Linked DNA regions of Mus musculus: region 2 is reported to be linked to region 1. Evidence: microRNA targets listed by miRTarBase, many of them from high-throughput screens and not tested one by one. Region 1 holds a microRNA gene; the other region holds the end of a gene's coding sequence.
Evidence for each region. The annotated mature microRNA mmu-miR-466e-3p reads UAUACAUACACGCACACAUAAGA and lies in region 1 at 2,796-2,818, shown strand. An mRNA with a match to its seed (bases 2 to 7 or 8) in the 3' UTR can be bound and repressed. Matches are read on the target gene's strand: a 7mer-m8 pairs with bases 2 to 8, a 7mer-A1 pairs with bases 2 to 7 and ends in A, and an 8mer does both.

Region 2: the mRNA of Nrf1 is a reported target of mmu-miR-466e-3p. Seed matches in the 3' UTR shown: 8mer at 3,266-3,273, 8mer at 3,228-3,235 and 7mer-m8 at 3,198-3,204.

What each region holds. Positions count from the first base shown.
Region 1 is chr2:10,471,473-10,475,540 of GRCm38, forward strand. It overlaps Mir466b-1 (microRNA 466b-1), which reads left to right and starts at 2,747; the gene lies at 2,747-2,828. The region is part of intron 10 of Sfmbt2 (Scm-like with four mbt domains 2); the gene reads left to right. It overlaps Mir669d-2 (microRNA 669d-2), which reads left to right and starts at 172; the gene lies at 172-257. Mir466f-3 (microRNA 466f-3) reads left to right here and starts at 481; the gene lies at 481-574. It also overlaps Mir297a-2, Mir466o, Mir467c, Mir669a-3 and Mir669k.
Region 2 is chr6:30,151,189-30,155,245 of GRCm38, reverse strand. It overlaps Nrf1 (nuclear respiratory factor 1), which reads right to left. Exons shown (of 12, transcript NM_001164226.1): 12 at 1,788-3,732. The coding sequence ends at 3,569. Among named protein-coding and RNA genes, the nearest start is that of Mir182, 13 kb to the left of the region's middle.

The sequences.
Region 1 (4,068 bases):
AATGATATGTGACTTAGACCTTTGGAGATTATGTATGACAGGGCCAGTGTCAATTCTCACACACCTGGTGAAAACCCTTGTTAGAGTCAGGAGGTATAGGAGTTGAAAATCATGCTTAACTTCATGAGGAGTAAGAGATCATCCTGGATTCATGTGATGCCCCCTATATATGTGCATGTGTGTATACTTGTGTGTGCATGTATATGTGTCTATATGAATATACATATACATACACACCCATATACACACGCATGCACGGAAACACAAAAACATAAACATAAACACAGGAATGGCACTCATTGATCCATTTGAATGATATGTGACTTAGAGTCTTATAGATTATGCAGTAGTGTGTCAATGAACGGTCTCACTCACCAGGTGAAAGTTGTTGACAGAGTCAGGAGGATCAGGAGTTCATATTCATGCTCAATTTCAGTTAGTGATCATCCAGACATTCATGTTATGCCCCTCATGTATGTGCATGTGTGTTTACGTGTGTGTGCATGTGCATGTGTGTATATGAATATATGTATACATACACACACACATACACACGCACGCAACACACACACACACACACACACACGACACTCATTTATTCATTTGAATGATATGTGACTTAGAGTTTTAGAGATTATGTAGTACTGGGCCAGTGAGTGCTCTCACTCACAAGGTGGAAATCTTGCCAGAGTCAGGAGGATCAGGAGTCGAAATTCATTCTCAACTTCATGTTGAGTCCGGGATCAGCTTCTGATTCATGTGATGCCCCCAGTGTATGTGCCTGTGTGTATATGTATGTGTGCATGTGCATGTGTGTATATGAGTATACATATACATACGCACATACCCATACAAGCATGCACACAAACCCAAAACTGCCACTCATCGATCTATTTGAATGATATGTGTCTTAGAGTCTTAGAGATTCTGTATGACTGGGCCAGGGAGAGGATTCACTCACCAAGTAAAGACCCTTGCCAGAGTCAAGATAATCAGGAGTTCAAGGTCATGGTAAAGGCATGATGAGTTAGAGGTCATCCTGGCATTCATGTGATTGCCCCTATGTATGTGTGTATGTGTTGATGTGTGTGTACATGTACATGTGTGAATATGATATACATACATGCACACATAAGACACATATGAGCACATAGACACACAGGAATGGCACTCACTCATCAATCTATGTGACTGAGAGCTTTGGAGATTATGTGTGACTAGGTCAGGGAGAGTTATCACCCATCATATTAAAAATGCTTGTTAGAATCAGGAGGTCAGGAGGTCAAATTCATGCTTTATTTCATGATGACTTAGAAATCTGCCTGGGATTCATGTGATGCCCCCATGTATGTGTACATGCGTGTACCTGTGTGTGGATTGTGTATATGAATATACATATCTACACACGCATAGACATGTACACAGACACACAAACATGAATGCAACTCATCGATCCATTTGAATGACGTGTGACTAAGAGTTTTAAGATTCTGCAGTACTGAATAGGGAGAGGTCTCACTCAGCAGGTGAAATCCCTTGCCAGAGTCAGGTGGTCCTGGAGTACAAATTCATGTTTAACTTCATGATGAGTTAGAGTTCAGCATGCGACTCATGTGATGTCCATCAAGAATGTGCATGTGTGTATAGTTGTGTGCATATTCACTTCTCTATATGAATATGCATATACACGCATGCACGCACAGGAATGCCACTCATATATCCTTTTGAATGGTATGTGACTTAGAGCTTTAGAGCTTATGCAGTACTGGGCCAGAGCTATGGCTCAGTTAGGAGGTGAGTACTCTTGCCAGAGTCAGGAGGATGAGGAGTTCAAAATCATATTTAATTCATGATGAGTAGAGATCAGCATGCGATTCATGTGATGCCCTCCAAGAATGTGCATGTGTGTATAGCTGTGTGCATATTCACTTCTCTACATGAATATGCACATAGCTGTATGCACACATACTCACAGGAATGGCCAGAACTATGTCTCAGTTAGGAGGTGAATATTGTTGCCAGAGGGAGGAGAATATGGAGTTCAAATTCATGTTTAACTTCATGATGAGTTAGAGAACAGCCTGGAATTTCTGTGATTGTCCCCGTGTATGTGTATATGTGTATAGGTACGTGTGCATGTAAATGTGGGTATATGAACATGCATATATATATATATATATATATGTGTATATATATATATATATATACATACATACATACACATATACACACACATATGGACACATACATGTGCACACAAACACACATGGTAGTCATCCATTTGATTTATGCATGCTTAGAGTTTCATTGAGTGTATATTCATGGGATAGCAAAACATCTCACTTACCAGATGAAAACTGCTTGCCAGAGTTAGGAGTCTCAGGAGTGCAAATTCATGCTTAACTTCATGAGCAGTTAGAGATCATCCTGGAATAATGTGATGGCCCCTATGCATGTGCCTTTGTGCATAAGTGCGTGCATGTATATGTGTGTATATTTTATGCATATACATACACACACCTATACACACATGCACACAGACATGCGAGAATGGCCCTCACGGATCCATTTGAATGATATGTGACCTACTGCTTTGGAGGTTATGTATGACTGGGCCAGGGTGAGGTCTCACAAACCACGGGAAAACCCTTGGTAGAGTCGGGAAGATCAGGAGTGCAAGTTCATGGTAAAGGCATGATGAGTTAGAGGTCATCCTGGCATTCATGTGATTGCCCCTATGAATGTGTGTATGTGTTGATGTGTGTGTACATGTACATGTGTGAATATGATATACATATACATACACGCACACATAAGACACATATGAGCACACAGACACATGGGAATGGCACTCATCAATCCATTTGAGTGATAAGTGACTTAGAGTGAAAATGCTTGCTAGAGTTAAGAGTATCAGGAGTTCAAATTCATACTTATCCTCATGAGAGATCAGCCTGTGATTCCTCCATGTATGTGCATGTGTGTATAGTTGTGTGTGCATGTTCATGTCTATATTTGAATATACATAACATACACACACATGTATAAACGCAAGCACACATACACAGACACAGGAATGGCATTCGCCAATCCCTTTGAATGATAAGTGATGTAGAGTTTTAGAGATTATGCAATAGGGGACATTGAATGGACTCACTCACCAGGTGTAAAAGATTGACAAAGTCAGGAGGATAAGGATTGCAACTTCATGCTTAACTTCATTTGGAGATTATCTTGGTATTCATGTGATGCCACCCATGTATGTGCATGTGTGCTTACTTGTATGTGCATTGCATGTGTTGACATGAATATACATAACAAAAACACACGTGTATATGCAAGCACATACACACAGGAAAAATTGCATTCATTTATACATTTGAATGATATGTGACTTAAAGTTTTCAAGATTATGCAGTAGTGGGACAGTGAATGGTTTTACTCACCAGGTGTGAAAGACTGTGGATCAGGAGTTCAAATTCATGCTTTACTTCATGATGACTTAGAGATATGCCTGGGATTCATGTGATGCCCCCTATGTATCCCTATCTGTATCTGTTTCTATTGTGTGTGGATTTGAGTATATGGCTGTACCTATCTACACAAATATATACATGTACACAGACACAAACAGAAACACACACACAAACATCAGTGCAACTCATCGATCCATTTGAATGACGTGTGACTTAGAGTTTTAAGATTCCTCAGTACTGAATGGGGAGAGGTCTCACTCAGCAGGAGAAATCCCTTGACAGAGTCAGTTGGATCAGGAGTTCAAATTTGTGCTGAATTTCATGATGAGTTCATGACCAGCATGGGATTCATCTTATGCCCACCAAAAATGTGCATGTGTGTATAGTTGTGTGCATATTCACTTCTCTATATGAATATGCATATACACGCATGCAAACACATTCATAGGAATGGCCAGAGCTATATCTCAGTTAGGAGGTGAGCACTCTTGCCAGAGCTAGGAAGATGAGGAGTTCAAATTCATGTTTAACTTCTTGATGTGTTAGAGTTCAGCATGCGATTCATGTGATACCCACCAAGATTTTGCATGTG
Region 2 (4,057 bases), not on the chromosome of region 1:
GGATGGACCCTGCTCTACAATGAAGCTGGGTTTCTTCTTGATAGGCACCCACCTACCCTGGGTTGTGCCTGAGCTATTCTTCCAGAGATCTCCTTAGCTTGGTCATGGGAGTGTAGGTGACTCCAGGAGTCACAGCACCACCAGGGGACACCTTGAGCTGCAAGGTCACCAAGCATTCCTAGACTGGCAGGCTTCTGTGAATCCGGTGGTGAGCTACATGGTGGATCCTTGTATCTACCACACTTATACTGCTCCGACCCTAGCAGGCCTCAGCACACGGAGCTGTAAGGACCTGTCCATGGTCTTCTCTTTCACATGTGCATGCCGGGGGAGTGCTCTGTCCCTGAGCTAAAGTCCTAGCCCCACTCTTCCTTCTCGGAGAACTGCCAAGTTTTAAAAAAACATCTATTCATTTGTGCTTGTATGCATATGTGCACGTGTACAAGTGTCTCGTCACATATGTAGAGGAGGTCAGAGGACAACCCCAGAGAATCAGTTCCATCCTGTGTGAGCTTCAGGAATTCAACTCTGGTCATCAGGCTTTTTGCCTGCCAAGCCACCGCACAGGACCATGCCAAACTTTATTTACCTGGGACATGCTAATATTCATGAATCTAACGTAATAGACCCTCAGGTCAGATCCATCTGACAAGATAGTTTGGTATGCCTGGATGTTTTATGCTGCTAATAAAATCAGATTTCATATAAAAACCTGACTTCTCCCATTTGCTGGGAATTTTGAAGGCAGCAAAGCCCATTTGTCTTTGGGAAAGGTGCCCGTCAGACAGCTGTTTGCCACTTTGTCTCATGCCCACCTCTACCCCACTGCGTCTCTTACTCACTGGACTTAGGTGGCTCTCCCTGGTCAGCTGCTTGGGGAGAAGTGACAGAGAAGCCATGCGCCAGCCCCTCGGGAGCCACAGCTCACGAGCTCTTGGGAAGGCACGGTCTGGGTTTGGCTTGTAAACCAAGGGAGCTAGCAGCAAGCATCCCGGGAAGGCTGAGTAGGAGGGTCTCTAGAGAAGCTGTGCTCTGCGCAGCCGCAGTCATTCCTTCCTGGCACATCCTCCCTGGTGAACGTGGATGGCGGTGTACCATCTATATAAAAAGGGATAGAAGCTGGTACTTGACAGTACTGAGCCAAGGCTAAGCCCCAAGGGAAACCGCATCCTCATTCGATGACTATAATCCCATCAGCCGGAGACATCTACAAACAAAAATGGCAGAGAAAGGCACTCAAGGGGAAGATGAGGCACAGCTCTTGAGGAGACATAGAGGCCGTGGGAAGGGCCCGAGTTAGGGCGTGGTGGGATCCAGCTGTGACACACACATTAAAACAGTGAGTGTGGTGTGTGTGAAACCAAGAAACAAGGATGCAGATAGCAACACAGGGCTTGGACCTTCTGCTCTGAAGACATTTCCTGCATCAAACACACTCACTCACTCACTTGGGAAGCCCTTTTAAGATGCAGGGGTCACCAAGGTCTTTTAATATGGTGCCAAATAAACACCTAAAACAGATTTCAGAGTAGAACCTTCAGACCACCTTGAGGCTTTCTGAAGTGCGACTGTTCCAGAGACCTGGTATACAGAAGACAGACATCCTCAGGCCTGGTGGGCTCACCCAGCACTCGGGAGCGGACAGGTCTCCTCCCTCCTGGAGTTCCTAGAGCGTGGTCCAGGCTAGAGACCTCTAGTGCATGTCTTTTGTAAAGGACAATGAGCCACACCCCAAAAGAGCCCTGTAGCCCAAGTGGCCAAGGCTGCTAGAGAGAGGGGCACTTTTTGTCGCCACATTAAACTATTTATTGAATGAGGCAGTTTAGACAGAATGGAGAACAACACAGATTCCATGCTCTGCTGCTGGGATCTTGCTTTTATCTTCTTGGCAATTTCTCAAACTATCGGGAGGCTTATTTCACCACAAAGGAACACGGGCCTTAAAGCCCCTGGACAGCTTCACAGTTTAAAAAAAAAAAAAAAGTAACCAATTGTAGAACCAGGACATTGATATGCAAATTTCCCACCCCTCCCTTATCACATACAGAAAAGAACATACAAAGAACATTGAATAGTTTTATATAAAACAAGCAAATATAAGAATTGGAAACTTTTCTCAAAGGCTGAGCAAGACATGAAGAATCTTTTAATGTCTCATTAAAAAACAAAAAACCAAAAACACCACATTAAATACACTATCACGCACGGGAGAGGGCTGGCAGGAAGGAGGAAGAGTCCCTGCACGCCAGGAGTGGAGATTTGGCTTGTCAAGACATCAGATGAATGAGCCACGGGAGACTCAGGGCTTGTGGCTGGAAAGCACAGAAGCTCACAGTGACAATGACTGCTCAGTGCAAGCCACACTGTGAGCAGGAAAGCTGTCCCAGGCCTGTGCCGCCAGGATGTGCCTGGGAAAAGTCCTCACAGAGTCTTCTGACACATCTGTGACGGCCAGCCTTTGCGCAGAGGTCCTGTGTGAGGCAGTCTCCTCTGCTGAAATACAGCTGCAGACAGCTGGAGAACACGGTTCCCACGGCGCACCCTGATTTATGAAGAGTTTTCTCCCTCCTTCCTATTTTGCTCTCCTATAATCTTCCCATTTTCTCCATTACTCATACACACACACACACACACACACACACACCCTGCACTTACACCCGCCTGCTCCATGAACACTCCTCAGACCCTTAACACTTCTGTCACCTTCAGTTTGTAACAGGACTGACCTTACAACCAAGCAACTCTTGAATAGTCGTGAGACTGAGGGTTCCTGGGAAGGGAGAAGATGGAGGCTGAGGAACGATTTCTTGCCCCTGCCAGGAGCCTGCAGGGCGTTTACCTGCCTGTGGCAAGGTCAGCACCTGGGCCAGCTGCCGTGTGTCTCTGCTGGCAAAGCGCACATGTGCGCACGCACTCTCTGTCCCTGGACTTCACAAGCACTCTCTGGACCACGCTGTGTCCTGGATCTTCCTTCCTTCGGTGAATCTAGCAGAGGTCTAGGCGGCCACTGGGAGGCAGCTTTGGTGAAGGACGTGGTCACCTCCGCCTGAGTCTGTCAGTAGCTCAATGCATGACCCTGGTATGAACGAAAACCAGGTGACTGTGTTTGGTCATGTACCCTACCACCCACGAATCTGGGTGGGTTCTTGTTCCCACAGTTCACCTTGATTTCATACAGGTAATTCCATGCAGGTTTCATACATATGTATGTATGTACATATATACTTTATACATATATGTAAATGTGTATGTCCATATGTACACATATACATATATTCACACTCACACGTACACACACGTAAGTATACACACATTTCTGCACAAAGAAGTCTGGCCACAATTTGGCTTTTTGGGACAGTGAAATCGGTGGCGTTCATTCCACCAGATCCCAGAGTGGTGCTTTAAAAAAGTGTGATTCCAAAATCTGCTGCCTTTCTTCCTTCTTAAAAAAAGGTTACCAAAACTTTCTTTCCAAGTCGAGAGACTTAATTCCATTTGATTGCACCTCTGCAAACATGTAAAAAATTCTGCAGTAGACTAGAAAACGCTGCCATGATAGAGCTCCATGCTACTGTTCCAAGGTCACCACCTCCACAGCCTGGCCATCCATGGTGACTGCGCTGTCCGATATCCTGGTGGTCACTGGGGCCATGGCCACCTGCACCGGCCCGTTGCCCTGGGCGAGGCTGGTTACCACAGTCTGGTACATGCTCACAGGGATCTGGACCAGGCCTGGAGAGACAAAGCAAGACCGTTGGTGGGGCCCAAGCTCAGGACCCAGGTGCTGGCTCGGGCAACTGGCTCTGGTCCTTCAGGGCATCACTGCCTGCCAGCCCCGGGCCACTGACTTACCTGCTTCCCAGACAGAGAAGTCTCAACTTTTTTTCCTTTCTTTTTAGAGACAAGGTCTTGCAATGCAGCCAGGCTGGCCCTCAGCTTTTGTTCCCTTGGCCTCAGCCGCCCAAGAGCTCAGACTCTGGGTGTGTGCCTGGCGCTGGGCAGTGAATCTCTCTTCTCACTTCATTTTAGTTCCTAGACTCTCGGGAAAGGAGTGTGG